Linked DNA regions of Oryctolagus cuniculus. Each later gene encodes a partner of the first gene's protein in a complex. Links are inferred from orthologs where the notes say so. Each region holds a gene or a part of one and is shown in the gene's direction. Other genes may lie near its edges. The genes, in order: XKR8 and BSG.

Evidence for each region.
Region 2: the proteins of XKR8 (region 1) and BSG are in contact, whole or in part, in a cryo-EM structure (PDB 7DCE), measured with the Homo sapiens proteins. The link is inferred for Oryctolagus cuniculus from reciprocal best matches to the Homo sapiens genes XKR8 and BSG. Residues at the interface, in NP_060523.2 of Homo sapiens: His232, Leu236, Val239, Leu242, Trp243, Leu246, Gln247, Arg280, Gly283, Arg284, Ile287, Phe291, Ser294, Asp295, Leu298, Ala301, Thr302; in NP_001719.2 of Homo sapiens: Trp326, Pro327, Gly330, Ile331, Glu334, Val335, Leu338, Val339, Ile341, Ile342, Phe343, Tyr345, Glu346, Lys350.

The regions. Positions count from the first base shown.
Region 1 is NC_091438.1:143,674,889-143,681,881, reverse strand, and holds the end of XKR8 (XK-related protein 8), read left to right. Parts: intron 1-2,254; coding exon 2,255-2,451; intron 2,452-4,725; coding exon 4,726-5,444; 3' UTR 5,445-6,128; downstream 6,129-6,993.
Region 2 is NC_091447.1:58,338,141-58,346,813, forward strand, and holds the start of BSG (basigin precursor), read left to right. Parts: upstream 1-3,885; 5' UTR 3,886-3,898; coding exon 3,899-3,965; intron 3,966-5,774; coding exon of another isoform or gene 5,775-6,122; intron 6,123-6,654; coding exon 6,655-6,811; intron 6,812-7,143; coding exon 7,144-7,226; intron 7,227-7,306; coding exon 7,307-7,443; intron 7,444-7,534; coding exon 7,535-7,811; intron 7,812-7,979; coding exon 7,980-8,004; intron 8,005-8,393; coding exon 8,394-8,460; 3' UTR 8,461-8,673.

The DNA.
Region 1 (6,993 bases):
GGCGGCGCTGTCGAGAGTGAGTGACCGGTGACAGGTACCTGCGTGAGAGTTCACCCAGTTCAGCACCAGCAGGACCTCTGGCAAGGCACCGACTGCCCCAGCTCTCAGTGTACCCAGGGTTCCAGTGGGGATGGCAGGAAGGCCTGCCCCTCTGGTGAGGATTAAATGCCACTTGTAAAGTGTCCTGGCGCAGAGGGAGCTGCCTGGTCACCTGGACCACGCCCGAGTCCCGGCAGCCTGACCGCCTGCAGCAGCGCACAGGGCGCCTCACTTGCCCAGCTGTGCCTCTGCCCTGAACCTGGGCTGCGCACCCCCAGACTTCGAGCCTGAGGGCAGAGGTGGCCTCTGACTCATCCATGGAGCCTGCTGGGCACAGCTGGCAGTGAGATGGGTGTGGCAGGGTCCTGCGGAGAGGGGAAAGTGAAAGTGTCACACAGCCATGCCCTGTGATGAGGTCAGGAGGGTGTGACAGCCCTGCCCTGTGATGGGGTCAGGAGGGCGTCACAGCCCTGCCCTGCGATGGGGTCAGGAGGGGTCGCCCGGGCGGGCTCAGCCCTTGGATCCATTTTCACATCCCCCGCCGCCCTGGATCTTGCGGGGCACAGCAGCACAGTTTGCAAGAGTGGCCGCGAGAGGAGCTTTGGATGTGGCAGTCGCCGGGGGCACTGTCCAGGCCTCAGTAGGACCTCGGGCGGGCACGAAGGGGCGCAGTGACGGGTATTACAGCCCCAGGCTGGCCTCGCCGAGCCCTCAACCCGTGACCTCCTCCTGCCTCTGCCCGTCTCCTGTTTTCTGCTGAGCCTGCGTCAGACCCTGGACTGCGTTTCGGCTTTAAAAGTGGGGTCAGTGTTCCTGCTTGTGCCTGGGGGGAACCAGTGTGCCAGGGGAAGTGACAGCGTCTTATGAATGAGCTTGCAGTGAGTGAATGGGCTCACCTCCCCGTCGCCTGCGGAGGCCGTTTCCGGCTGGGAGAGCCCTTGTGCCTCTTCCGCCCTCGCCCCGCCCCCGCCAGTGGCTTCCCCAGTCTGCGCAACCTCTGGACCCTCTGGACTGTGCCCCAACCCGCAGCCCCGCCTCTCCGGGCCAGGCCTCTCCCTGAGCTGTGCGGCAGCCGCAGCCTCCTAGCCCAGCGCTCCAGTCCTCCGCCATCCACGGGATCTCGCCCCGCCTTGCCTGTGCTCGGAAACTCCCTGGCTCAGCCGCTTGCCCCGAGGATCCCGAGAGATACTCAGACACACTGCAGTGTATAGCCTATGTAGGGCTCTGGGTCCAAGTCTGATTCCACTGCTTCTTAGATGCCGCTTTTTTTTCTTAAAGCTATTGTTATTAAAAATGTGCATTTATGGCCGGCGCTGCGGCTCAATAGGCTAATCCTCCGCCTTGTGGCGGGCGCCGGCACACCGGGTTCTAGTCCCGGTCGGGGCGCCGGATTCTGTCCCGGTTGCCCCTCTTCCAGGCCAGCTCTCTGCTGTGGCCAGGGAGTGCAGTGGAGGATGGCCCAAGTGCTTGGGCCCTGCACCCCATGGGAGACCAGGAGAAGCACCTGGCTCCTGCCTTCGGATCAGCGCGGTGCGCTGGCCACAGCGCGTCGCCCTCGGGCGGCCATTGGAGGGTGAACCAACAGCAAAGGAAGACCTTTCTCTCTGTCTCTCTCTCACTCACTGTCCACTCTGCCAGTAAATATATATATATATATATATATATATATATATATATAAATATATAATGTGTATTTATTTGAAAGACACTGGTTCACTCCCCAAGTGCCTGCAAGAGCTGCGGCTGGGCCAGGCTGAAGCCTGGAGACCTGGAGCCTCCATCCAGGCCTCCCCTGTGGGTAGCAGGAACCCAAGTACTTGAGCCATCCCTGCTGCCTCCCAGGGTGCAGTTGCAGGAAGCTGGATGGGAAGCGGAGTGGCCAGGACTCCCTGGGACGCGGGAGTCCCAGGAGGCAGCTTACCCACTGGGCCACAGCACTGCCCCAGCTGAGTAACTTCTAGATCCCCTTGCCTATCTGTGAAATGGGCTCCTCTGGGGGAGTCAGTAGGTCAAGGCTCGCAGGGATCTGAAGGCAGTGACTGTGCAGGCAGAGTCGAAGCTGCATTTATCCCCGTTCTCCAGAGGAAGGAACAGATTCAGAGAGGTTACGTGGCCTGCCCGAGGCCCCACAGCAGGGACGTGGGGAGCTGGGCTCTGAGGCACCCTGCACCCCAGGGTGCTGACCTGGCCCTCGGGCATCTGTGTGTGCCACCAGGTGCCTGCAGGGGCTGCAGCAGGGGCTGCGGGTGTGGCGGCAGGAGGCGCCCTCCGACTTCCACGAGGCCTACGCGGACTTCCTGTCCCTGGACATCAGCATGCTGCGGCTCTTCGAGACCTTCCTGGAGACGACACCGCAGCTCACGCTGCTGCTCGCCATCGTGCTGCAGAGCGGCGGGGCCGAGTGCTTCCAGTGTGAGTGCCCTGCACTGCCCCGCCCTGCCTTGACAAGGCGTCCCCCTCCCACGCCACTGACGGCTCACTCTTGTACTGAGGCAGCCGAGGGAGGCAGACCTGGCTTCAAATCTGGTCACTCTTGAGTGGTAGGACTTGGGATGGACGGCACGACTTCTCGGAGCGTCAGTTTGGTCTCAGCTGAAACATGGAAGCCAGACACACTCCTACCTTGTCGGGTGGATACAGGGCGTGGGGGAAGGGTGCACATGAAGCCCAGTGGCTGGCACTTAGCAAGTCTCGGTTGTCATCTGTGCTGTCTTTAAAAGATGTATATTTATTTATTTGGAAGGCAGAGTTAGAGATGGAGAGACAGAGCTTCTAACTGTTAGCTCACTCCCCAAATGGCCACAACGGCCACAGCTGGGCCAGACTGAAGCCAGGAGCCAGGAGCTTCATCTGGGTCTCCCACGTGGATCCAGGGACCAGAGGCCTTGGGCCATCTTCCGCTGCTTTCCCAGGTGCCTTAGCAGGGAGCTGGATCAGAAGTGGAGCAGCTGGGACTTGAACTGGCGCCTATATGGGATGCTGGTGCCGCAGGCAGAGGCTTAGCTCAGTACGCCACAGCGCCTCCGAGGTCTTTGCTGTCTTGAAGATTGCAGAGATCGGAGCGTGTGGAGAGCCTGACGCATCACAGACCGTGTGCTGCTCAGGCGGTTTCCTCCGCCCGGGTTAGAACAGGGCCTCCCTGCTGTGCCTGTCCCCGTGCCGCCCACATGGCAGTGACCAAGATGCACAGAGCCGCTGCCCCGCCAGGAAGGCCGGGCAGTTACAGTGCAGCACGCAGAGGGACAGGAAAGGTTTTGCCCGTGCAAGGGAAGGAACTGGCTCGTGGTTGCAGACCCAGCTGGTGGTCACGCTAGGCCGGGATGCTTGCTCACGTCTGGCGCGGGGTCCAGCCCCGCTTCAGCACCCGCCCACCTCCAGTCCTCCCGGCACCTCACAACGCCTGCCCCCACATGCCGCGGCCTCGTGTGGCACCCCGACCTGTCACGCCCCGTGTGACCGCAGGGTCTTCCTTGGGCCTCCATTTCCGCGGCTGTGCGAGACGGGGTTGGACTTAGCTTCCAGGGCCCTCTCACCTTGCAGGTGGGAGCCTGCACCATTCTCCGAAGAAGCCATAGCGGCTGAGCACGTGCCGCTGGCCGGGCTCTGTGGAACGGGCCCGTAGTCCCCACTGCTCGTGTTCACAGAAGCTATGGGTCGCTGCCGTCTTCCTCTCCATTTTCCAGAAGAGCAGAGGGAGGCAGAGCGCCTTGCCCCGGTCACTGAGCGCTCCCTGAGCCCGGCTTTGTGGGAGAGCAGAAGGTGCCAGCCCCAGGGCCCAGTGGAGACGGTCTGCGTGCAGGTGGGGTGGGGAGGCAGATTTTCCCCAATTTTTTCTTCTTTTTTTTTTTTTTTTAATTTTTAGTTCTTTTTTATCTTTTTCCCAATTTTTTTCTTAGCAAGCATTTATCATGTGCCACACACTGGACGGGAATCCCAGATGAGTGTTCAGGAGCCAGAAATGAAAGAATTCCTGGGTGATGAGCCTTCAGGCAGGAGTGGGTGGGGAGTTCCGGGGGCGCCTGACACAGCTGAATGGGAGGAGGGGGTCAGGCTGCGGCCAGCCCAGCAGCCTGGGCAAGGTCAGAGCTTGCAGCCCTGCTGGGGCCTGGGGCGGGGCTGGCTGCAGATCTGAGGCCAGACTGGGGGTTTCCAGCGAGCATCTGTTGGATGAATGCCAGGAGCCAGGGAGGGGGCAGAGCGGGAGGCCTCCTAGGGACCTCCTGTGCTTCCTGGAGATCCTGGTGCTGGGAGACCGGGAGGTGGGACAGGAGTTCCTGGACCTTGGACAGTGGAGACCAGGGCCTGGTCTGAGCAGGGAGGAGACGGGAGGGCAGCTGCAGCCTCCCATGGGGTTTCCTGCCTCCCTCTCCAGGAGGGAGAATTGGGGCACTGGAGTTGGTGATTTTCAGGCTCTTTCGGGACAGGGAGGGTTCTGGGGCCCTGGGAGAGGCTCTGGACGCATTGCACCAGTGCTGTGTGCTGGCGAACGGCTGCCAGCCACGCGCTCTCCTCGTGAGAGCACTGGAAAGCCAGTCAAGGGCAGGCTCCGTGTTTGAGTCCTGACCCTGGTGTCTATTGTGTGAGCTTAAAGTTCTCCTGCCACAGATCCCTGCTTCGGGGTCACTGGGAGGGCCCTGCAGTACCTGGGAGCCCACGGGGCTCACCGCTTTCTTCTTCCTCCTACAGGGGTCGGCATCTGCACGTCCTTCCTGGGCATCTCGTGGGCGCTGCTGGACTACCACCAGGCCTTGCGCACCTGCCTCCCCTCCAAGTCCCCTCTGGGCCTGCGCTCCTCCGCCGTCTACTTCCTGTGGAACCTGCTGCTGCTGGGGCCCCGGGTCCTGGCCGTGGCCCTGTTCTCGGCCCTCTTCCCCCGCTACGTGGCCCTGCACTTCCTGGGGCTGTGGCTGGTGCTGCTGCTCTGGGTGTGGCTTCAGGGCACAGACTTCATGCCAGACCCTGGCTCGGAGTGGCTGTACCGGGCCACGGTGGCCACCATCCTCTATTTCTCCTGGTTCAACGTGGCTGAGGGCCACACCCGAGGCCGGGCCACCATCCACCTGGCGTTCCTCCTGAGTGACAGTATTCTCCTGGTGGCCACCTGGGTGACTCACAGCCCCTGGCTGCCCGGCGGGATCCCGCTGCACATATGGCTGCCTGTGGGAGGCATCTGCTTCCTCTTGGGTCTGGTGTTGCGCCTTGTCTACTACTGCTGGCTGCACCCTCGCTGCAGCTGGGATCCTGACCGGGTGGACGGGGCCCATGGGGCCCGCAGCCTCCTCTCCTCTGAGCTGGGTCCGCTGCCCCAGAACAGGCGCATGACCCAGCTGGCTAAGAACTTTTTCCCCAAGGCTAAGGATGAGGCTGCTTTGCCGGGGAAGGGAGAAGTGAATGGGGTCCTTTGAGGCAGGGTGAGAGCCTGCCACGGCAGCCTGCCATGCATACAACGAAACGGGGCTCTGGGCCCCAGTTGTCTAGAGGGTGCCTTAGGGAGAGAAGACCACCTGTTCCTGTTCTCTTCCCCCAACCAGAGCAGCGGGGGCCCCAGAGCGCCCCACAGCTGGCACTCCCGTCTCCCAGCCACTCCTAAAATAACCAGTGGAGGTGCCGTCCCATCCTGGGGCCCCAGGACCCCCAGGGGATGCTCTCTAGAATTCTCCCTCTCCACACCTCCATTTGGTGCCTTCAACAGTTCTCTATTGAGAGCATTTTCTGGGTCAGGAACGTCATTCGATCCTTGAAACCCAGAACCACAGCGGCTGCCATCCTGGCCTCATCCCTTACCTGTTCCGACAAAGCCTGTAAGCCGGGAAAGCCTGGTGCTAGGTAGTCCCTGGCGGCCCCTCCAGAGGCTTGGTGCAGCTGGCCCAGCCCCTGTTCTGCTCGCAGGAGGCTGCCTTTCCACCAGTGCCATGGGGGGGACCTGTGGTCTGGCCGGGCACAGCCATTGAGTGTTTTTTTTTTTTTTTTCCTTTCGCCAGTGTACTGCCTACCTCAGAGTATGCACCTCCGTCCTGGCCCGTGACAGACACTAAGTGTTGTTTTACAGTATTATTAGGTTTTTAGTAAAGCTTCGTGGAATCCTCCAAGTCTGGTCATTAAGTGAGACTTTTTTTTTTTAAAGATTTATTTATTTGAAAGTCAGGGTTAAAGAGAGACGACTTCCATCTGCTGGTTCACTCCCCAGTTGACCGAGACGGCCGGAGCTGTGATCCAAAGCCAGGAGCCAGGAGCTTCTTCCAGGTCTCCCACGGGGGTGTGGCTTTACCCGCTATGCCACAGCGTGGGCCCCATTACATGAAACTTCAAGTTCAAAACCTCCTAGAATGAAGGGATCAGGGACACGAGGTTCCTCAAAACTGACAGTGTCCCCTGGGACACAGGACTGGTTTGGCTGGGACTTCTCAGCCTCATTTGCAGTTTCAGGAGCTGGTGAGCCTCACAAACCAGATGTGGACAGATTCTGGAGGCTTCTCATAACCACCAGCTGCTGGGCCGGGCAGGCACTGGATTTGAGATTCCTGGAGAACAGTGCTGGGGCCTCGGAGAGGGTCTGTGAGGAGGGTGGCGCAGGGGATGGGGACGTGGGCAGTGGAAGCTTTTGCTGCTTTGGGAGGTCTGTGCTTTTGCAGAAACACAACAGAAATGGGTGCTGGGACAGAAGGTTCCAGTCACTGCTATGAAGGGAACCAGGATGGTCTCAGTTCTGTTAGTCATTCATATCGAGACAATACAGAGGGCAAGCAGAGGGTAGGCAGTGGTGTCATCCCAGAGAAGGGGGGGCGGTTGGCTTACTCACTGCGGGCTTGAAACATCCTGCAGGCAGGAAGGAAAGTTGCAACACTCTTCCTTTTGGGGCTACAATGCAGCACAGGAATGTAGCTCCACTGGCCCAGAGATGGCAGGCTGGGGGTGGGTGTTGGGGGGGGGGTGTGTGCTACCAAGACCACACAT
Region 2 (8,673 bases), on another chromosome or scaffold:
AAAAAAAAATTGTAGCATGGCAGGTAAAGCCAGTTCCTGCAGCACGGGCATCCCATGAGGACACTGGTTCGAGTCCTGGCTCCTCCTCCGATCCAGCTCCCTTCTAACATCCCTGGGGAAGCAGCAGACGGTCGCCCAAGTCCTTGGGCCCCTGCACCCACACAGGAGACCTGGATGGAGCTCCCGGGCCATGGCAGCCATCTGGGCAGGAAACTAGTGGATACAAGATCTCTCTGGTCTCTCTGTAACTCTTTCAAAACAAATAAACCAATCTTTAAAACACAATGTTTACTTATGTATTTCATTTTACTTGAAAGAGACAGAGAAAAATCTTCCATCTGCTGCCTGCTGGGATCTGGGGGCTCCAGCCTGGTCCCCGTGAGGGCGCAGGATCTGCTTCCTTGGACTGTGTTAGGAGCGGCTGGAGCAGCAGAGCTGGGACTCGCTGGGGTGGGGGCACAGGAGACAGCGTAAGCACTGGACCAAATGCTGCTCCAAGTAACATCTCTCTTTTCTGTAATGCTATGCATTTCGTATATTCGAAGGGCAGAGCGATAGAGGTGGAGGAGGGGGAGAGAGAGAGAGAGGCAGGTAGGTCTGCCACGCTCTGGTTCACTCCCCAGATGGCTACGACACCTGAGGCTGGGCCAGGTGGAGCCCAGGAGCCGGGACTCCATCCGGGCCTCCCACTTCGGGCCAGGGCCGCCTTCTGCTGCGTCCCCAGGCCGTCAGCAGGGAGCTGGATCGGACGTGGAGCAGCCGGCACTGGCACAGATGCGGGATGTGAGCCCACTTCCAGAGAGCCTGCCCTCACCTAGCTCTTTAAAACCTGAAATTGCCTCGCACCAGCGAAGTCAGGTGACCTGGGAGCAGCTCCAGGAAGCAGAGGGCCAGGGCTGCGGAGAGTGGACCTGGGGGCTGGCCGGGGCTGGCGGGGCTGGCGGGGTGGGCAGGGCCTCCAGGGAGGAGGCCAGAAAACTGGGTCTCAGACAAAGCAGCTGCTGCCCCGGTTCTGGGAACAAAGGCCAAGGCTTCCGGGCAGCCCTGGAGTGCTCAGGGGCTCTGGGAGGGCCAGCAGGGGGCAGGAATTCCGCCCTACCCGCCATTGTTTGTGCAGCCTCCTGGCCTCATGTCCTGCACGTAGCCACTGGCTCCCTGCAGGCCTCCAGGGGCGGCTGGGACACTCCAGGCCCCTGCTCGCTGCTGCCCCTGCCAGCGGCTCCTCTGGCCTCCGCCTTCTGTCCAAGGCCCTCTGCGCAGCCTTGGGCACCCCGGGCTCCATCCACCCCTGCCTGTGGCCTCTCCTGTGTCAGCCCAGGTGCCGTCCCCAGCACAGAGCCACACGGGAGCCCCTGCCCCGGTCACTCACATCCCCCAGTGTTCCCTGGAGACTCACTGGTGCCCACACTTTCCCCCAAAGAGCAGCCCCATCTCCAGGAGCAGTCAGTCGGCCCTGGCTAACCGCGAATCCCCCTCCCGTCCCTGTGAGGTCCCGTCATTGGAGCCCCTGTGTCTGTGTCTCCACGGCATGGCCGTGGCGTCCTCGGGCCCCTCGGTTACTGCAGGAAAGGCTGTGGAAGCCGTGGGTTCTCGTCTTCACGCAAGAAAGAATTCAGGCGTGAGACAGAGAGCGGAGTGCTGAGGCTTTACTGGGGACAGGGCACCCGTCAGAACACTGGGGACAGACAGCGCGCGCGCCCAGTCGCTGGGACCGGGGGAGAGTGAGGTTCCGTGGTTGAGTGAACACACCTGGGCAGCCCAGGCGGGCGGGCGGCTCAGCAGAGAGGCAGAGGGCTCCCGAGGTGCTTAAGGAAGTCTGTTTACCCACCTCCCCTCTCCTCCAGGACAAAGGACAAAGGAGAACCCTGGTGGAAGGGTTTGTTGGGTGAAAACTAGCAAATTCCTCACCAGATTTGCTGGGGCCAGGCAAGGCAGAGGGACTTCCCTTGGGGCGTCTGAGAAGGTTTTATTGCCCCGTGTTATCAGGTCAGGTAACCCCTGTGGTCCTGAGAGAGGAGTCTCCTGGGGGAAGGGCTGGGAGTCCGAGCAGGGTCCGAGCAGGGCTTCGAAGTGCAAGGTGCTGGTCTCCAGGCTGTCCCTACACACAGAGGCTGCCTAACACCGCCACACTGTCCCGGGCCAGAGCCTCCCGGTGCATGGTATGCATGGCCCTGTTCCTGTCGATGGCCTGTGACCCCAGGGTTAAGCAGTGGCTCTGCTCTTCCAGGCACCACTTCGTGTCCCCAGCGGCAGGGTGCAAAGGCCCAGCCCGCCCTGCCCCCCGCTGGTCAGACCTGCTGACTGGCTGAGGACGCCTGTTCAGAGCCTTCGTAGACTTCGCACAGGTTTTACTGATTTATTTGAAAGGCTGAGTGACACAGAGAAATCTTCCATCCGCTGCTTCACTCCCCAGATACCTGCCACAGCCTGGGCCAGGCGGGAGCCCAATCCCGGTCTCCCGCGTGCGAGGCAGGGCCCCCGGGGACCTGGGCTGTCACACAGGGCTGATGGCAGTGGCATGGAGTGAGGGGACGCCACAGCCCAGGTCGGCGTGCCTGGGGCACACCCCGCTTCCTGCTCACCCACCACGCGGCGCCCATGCCCGGATGGAGCTCCCGGGCCCCTGCTCTGGCCCATCCTCACTCCACCCCTGCCACTTTCAAATAAATAAAATACAACTGAAACAGCAGAAAGCGAGCGCTTTCCGGGTGTACCTGCTGGCGGGGATGGGGGAACCCGTTCTCTTAGCCGAGGAAGAATCCTGAAGGCAGAGGCGTGGCCGGCCAGGCAGCAGCAGAAGGGGCAGGCAGCCCAGGGGAGGAACGGGTGGACCCGCGCCCGCCACCCACCCAGGGAAGCCAATGCCGTGCGGCTACACAGGGACCGCAGCTCATCTGCACCCAGACTGCGGACTGTGCGGCGCTCCTCCCTCCTCAGCCACAGGTGAGGGGTGCAGGAGTGACGAAGGAGGCATCCGCCCCAGGTGAGGGGTCCAAGAGTGATGGAGGAGGCACCCGCCCCAGGGGAGGGGTGCAGGAGTGATGGAGGGGGCATCCGCCCCAGGGGAGGGGTGCAGGAGTGATGGAGGAGGCATCCGCCCCAGGGGAGGGGTGCAGGAGTGACAGAGGGGGCACCCGCCCCAGGGGAGGGGTGCAGGAGTGATGGAGGAGGCATCCGCCCCAGGGGAGGGGTGCAGGAGTGACAGAGGGGGCACCCGCCCCAGGGGAGGGGTGTAGGAGTGACAGAGGGGGCATCCGCCCCAGGGGAGGGGTGCAGGAGTGACGGAGGGGGCACCCGCCCCAGGTTCCCCGGCTCAGCGCTGTCCCGCGGGGAGCCCACGCAACCCCGGGCACAGGACGGCCTCCTGTCCAGTACTGGGCCTGGGCGGGATCCCGCGGGGTAAAACTCGGGGCGCTTCCCCGACTCCTGGCCCTCCCCAGGCCGCGCTCGCACGCATGCGCCGACGCCTAACTTCCACCCCGACTCCACGGCACCTGGGCGCGCGCGCGGCCTGCGGCCCTCGTCTGGGTCGTGGGGGGTCCCAGCGCCGTCCCCAGCAGGGGTGCGGCAGGAACGTGCGCGTCTGAGCGCGCACCCTAGCCCCCGAGCCCTGCCCGGGGTCCCCGCTACGCCGCGCCGCCCCCGGGGTCCCGTGGCCCGCCCGGAGTCACGTGGCCCGCCCCGGCCTCCGCAGCCTCCGCCCGCCTGTCCGGCGCCCGCGTACGTGCGTGTGTGCGCGTGCGCGGAGCGCCCGTAGCCCCCACCACCACCACCGTGCGCGCCCCGCCCCCGGGGCACCGCCCTGCGTGCGCGCGCCCGGCACGCGCGCCCGGCCGGTCTTATAGGGGCCGTAGCCGGCAGCGGGCACGGCGCTCGGTGGACGGCGGACGGCGGGGACATGGCGGCTGTGCTGTTCGCGCTGCTGGCGCTCGCGCTGCTGCGCGCCGGGGGCGCCTCTGCGGCAGGTGGGCGCCGCTCGGGGGCTGCGGGCGGGGGCTACGAGCCGGGGCGGGGGGGCTACGAGCCGCCGCCGCCCCGGGGGTCCCGGCCCGGGCCCTCGTCGGGAGGGCGGCCACCCTGCAGAGCAGGGCCCCGGGTCTCGGGGGCCGCCGTCCCCCTCCACGGTGCACGCGGCCGGGGCTGACCCCCGCGTGGGACGCCGCTCGTGGCCCTCGGCTGCAGTCCGCGGCCGCTGCCCGGGCAGGCTGGGCCCCGGGATTATCATTCCTGCGGGGATTTGGCCGGCGGCGCGCCCGCGTTTGCGGGGTCTGCGCGGGCGTGCGGGCCCCCTCCTCCTCTGCCTGTTGGGGGTGGGTCTCCAAGGTCACCGCGAGGTCGCCCAGGCCGCTGGGGGGAGCCCCGCGTGGAGCCCCAGGGCCCGGCCGGGAGCTCCCGGGCCGCTGCTGACCCACTTCGGCGGCTTCCTCTTCCCGGTCCCCGGCCTCGACCGAGCGCGGGGGGCGCGAGGGAGCCCCAGGCGGCGCCGGGTTTCCTGCGGGGCCCCCGCGGAGCGCGCTCTGGCCCTGCCGGGCTTAGTCGACCGTACCCCGGGGCCGGGGGCCGTGCGGGATCTCAGCCCTGCGCGGAGCGGCGGTGTGCGTGGGCGCACGGTGCGTGGTGGGGTGTTGCTTCCGACTTGGCTCCCGGGCGCCTTATATGGGTGTTCGGGTCTTGCCCGTGCACGCTTCTGCTCTCTGTGCGGGGCCTGGCCGCGCTGGGTTGGCCACCTCCTGTCCCCCCGGGTCGGGGCCTGGCCAGCTCTGTTCTCCAGGCGCACAGCCGCGGGCCCCCGCGGGGGTTAGCCCAGGAGGGCCGCACTCTGGCCCGCCCCGAGCAAACGCTTAACCTCTGGCCTCCGGGGGAGGCTTGGCTGAGGGTGGGGCGGCAGAGGCGAGGCCCCCAGCGGGTGGGGCCCTTCCCTCCCGAGCGGCCCCGCCTTAGGCTGGGCTTGTTTACCGAGGCCGCGCCTGGCCCCCTGCCCGCCTGGCCGCTCTCTAGTGAAGGTGACTTGAACCTGAGTTGCAGATCACGTGGGCCGAGTGGAGCTGTGGCTTTTCTGAGACTGACCCTGGGGCTGGATGTGGCGTGGACTGGGGCGGCCAGGGGCCTCACCCCAGGGAGCTGGGCCACCAGTGTCCCCCTGACGTCCAGCTGCTCTTGTCGGAGGCTGCGTCTGTCCCTTGGGGAGCGCCAGGTGGTGCAGACCTGTGGAGGGGCGGCCGGTTCCCCACCTTGGACACCGGGGCTGGGACAGCTGCGGCCAGGCTAGTACGGCCTCTCCCGGTACCTGCAGGCGGCCGGGGTGTTCGGGGGGCACCTCGGCTTCACTTCCTGCCTGACTCAGCTCTGCCAGGGCTGTGGGATTTGCAGCTAGGGGTCCTTCTGCTGGAGGCCACCTGGGCTGGTCCAGCGGCCTCCAGGCGGGCCAGGGAGGCAGGTGCCTCGTCCCCAGGGCACCTGGGGCCGGAGCGTCAGGACCCAGGGGAGGGTGGACGGGAGCCCCTGCCCGCCCCTGTCCGCCTAGGCAGTGTCCAGGACCCTCTGTTGTGTTCAAATAAGGAAGCCGATGATGGCCCGGGTGTCCGTGCCAAGAGGGCCCTGCGCCCCTCACTGTCCCCACAGCTGCCTTGTTCGCAGAGCCCAGCGCCCGTCCCGTGACCTTAGGGGCTCAGCCCTAGCTGGACATGCGTGTGCTCCCCCTGCCCTGCCTTCCGTGGGGGCAGCCCGCTCCTGTTCTGCCGTGGGGGCCTCACGCTCTCGCCCTCTCCCCGTAGCTGGCTTTGTGCGGCCCCCACTGTCGCAGGAGGGGCGGGCGGGGGGCAGCGTGGAGCTGCACTGTGAGGCCGTGGGCCGCCCGGTCCCCGAGATCCAGTGGTGGTTTGAAGGGGACGGCCCCGGCGACGGCAGCTCCCAGCTCTGGGACGGCGCCCGGCAGGGCCGCGTGCACATCCACGCTGCCTACCGCGAGCACGCGGCCAGCACCGTGTCCATCGCCCAGCTCAGCGCCGAGGACGCGGGCACCTACGAGTGCCGGGCCAGCAACGACCCCGACCGCAACCACCTGACCCGGCCGCCCAGGGTCAAGTGGGTCCGTGCCCAGGCCAGCCTGGCGGTCCTGGAACGTGAGTGGCAGAGACCTGCCTCAGTGTCCCTCTTGTGCCATCGGCTCCCACCCAGTAGAGCCCAGGCCCTCTCCTGCCCGGTTCTGTCCCTCCCACCCACCTGAGCAGTCTCTGGCCTGGATGCGGGTGGGCCCCTCGCCCCCGTCCTGTCCGCCCATGCGTCCATCGCTCCGACCCGCTCCATCCGTGCTCCCTCCCTCCGTGGGCGCCTGTCTGGCTCTTGTCCTGGTCGGTGGGGCTGGGTCTGCTCCCTGGGTCAGCCCAGGTTCAAGGCTCTCCGGACCTCCCATGGGAACGTGCTCAGCTGACCGTGAGGCCGCTGTGTCGAGCCTGGGGTAGAGCGGGGCGGGGCGGGAGGTGTGGGCGTGCTGCAGGGCTGCTCCTAGCCTAGCCTAGCCGGGAGCTGATGCCTGGGCCACACCCCCGTGCACAAGGGCCCTCCGGAGGGCACCCTCTGAGCCAGGCCTCGGCGTGGCGGAGGGCCGACCCCTCCTCTCCTGCCCCTTGCTGACCTCTCGCCGTGGTCTCCCAGCGGGCACCGTGACGACTTCTGTGCAGAGCGGGGATTCCTGGGTGCAGCTCACCTGTACCTTGAACACCAGCGCCGCGGGCGTCACTGGGCACCGCTGGCTGAAAGGGAAGGAAGTGGTGAAGGAGGACCAGCTGCAGGGCCTGCACACCGAGCACAAGTGAGTGCGGGGGCCGGGGCCGGGGCCGCCCAGGCGGACCCTCCTCCTCCCTCCCGGGGGCTGGGGCAGGGGGCAGGGGGCCGGGTCTCAGCCCGGACCCTCCTCCTCCCTCCCGGGGGCTGGGGCAGGGGGCCGGGTCTCAGCCCGGACCCTCCTCCTCCCTCCCGGGGGCTGGGGCAGGGGGCCGGGTCTCAGCCCGGACCCTCCTCCTCCCTCCCGGGGGCTGGGGCAGGGGGCCAGGTCTCAGCCCGGACCCTCCTCCGGGGGGCAGCCCGGGGTCCTGCACGAGCCCCTCCACGGGCCCAGGCTCACAGCCGCTTGTCTTGTCGCAGCGTGACCGGGGACGACAGGTTTGGCAAGTACTCCTGCCTCTTCCTCCCCAAGGACACGGGCGAGGCCACGCTGACCGTGGACGGTGAGCGGGGGTCATGCTGGGGGCCTCGGGTGGGGCTCCTGCCGCGCCTGGGGTGCGAGGCTCCCTCTGGCTCCCCCCAGGGCCCCCCAGAATTAAGGCTGTGAAGAAGTCGGAGCACGCCAACGAGGGCGACTCGGTCACCCTGCTGTGCAAGTCGGAGTCCTTCCCCTTCGTGACCGCCTGGGTCTGGTACAAGGTGGCCGACTCCGGGGACCAGGTGAGGGCGCGGGGCAGGCCAGGGGGCGGTGGGGGGCCCACGGGGCGCCCTGTGGGGCCGGCCTCAGCCTCCCCCTGCCTCCTGCCCCCAGGTCATCCAGAACGGCTCCCAGAGCAGGTTCTTCATCAGCCACTCGGAGGCCCAGTCGGAGCTGCACATCAAGGACCTGGACCTGACCTCCGACCCCGGCGAGTACGCCTGCAACGGCACCAGCCTGCAGGGCACGGACGCGGCGGTGGTCACCCTGCGCGTGCGCAGCCGCCTGGCCGCCCTCTGGCCCTTCCTGGGCATCGTGGCCGAGGTGCTGGTGCTGGTCACCGTCATCTTCATCTACGAGAAGCGGCGGAAGCCGGATGAGGTGCTGGACGGTGAGTGACCCCCAGGGGGCGCCACGCCCGCGGCTCAGGCCCAGCCGCCCCTCAACTGCTCTGCAGGGCCTGGGTGTGCCCAGGAGAGGGAGGGGGTGGGGACGGGGAAGGGGGGGCAGCACTGACCCCTGACCCTGCCCTTCTCTTCCACGTGGCTGTGGTGCTCAGACGAGGACGCCGGTGCCGCGCCACTGTGAGTCCCGCTGTGGGGGGGGCACGCTGCAGGCTCCCTGTCCTCAGAGCTCAGCTGGGCCCTGTGGGAGTTGGGGGGGGGGGGCTTTGGCCACTCAGGGGGCCAGGCTGCAGGCCCTGTGGGGGTTGGGGGGGGCTTTGGCCACATGGGGGGCCAGGCTGCAGGCTCCCTGTCGTCAGAGCTCAGCTGGGCCCTGTGGGAGTTGGGGGGGGGCTTTGGCCACTCAGGGGGCCCAGGCTGCAGGCCCTGTGGGAGTTGGGGGGGGGGCTTTGGCCACTCAGGGGGCCCAGGCTGCAGGCCCTGTGGGGGTTGGGGGGGGCTTTGGCCACATGGGGGACCAGGCTGCAGGCTCCCTGTCGTCAGAGCTCAGCTGGGCCCTGTGTCTCCAGGAAAAGCAGCGGGCACCACGTGAATGACGACAAGGGCAAGAATGTCCGACAGAGGAACGCCAGCTGAGCCGGCCGCTCCGGGTTGGGGTGCAGCTGCGAGGAGCTGAGCCCTGCCCACCAAGGCTCCGCCCAGGGCTGGAGGCCACACCCCTACACCTGCCTGCTCCAAGGCTCCGCCCAGGGCTGAAGGCCACACCCTTACACCTGCCCTCCAGGCCCCTTGTGGGGGGGGGGACCCTGCCCTTTGAGGAAGGTCACAGGAGGCCCGGCCTCCAGCCTG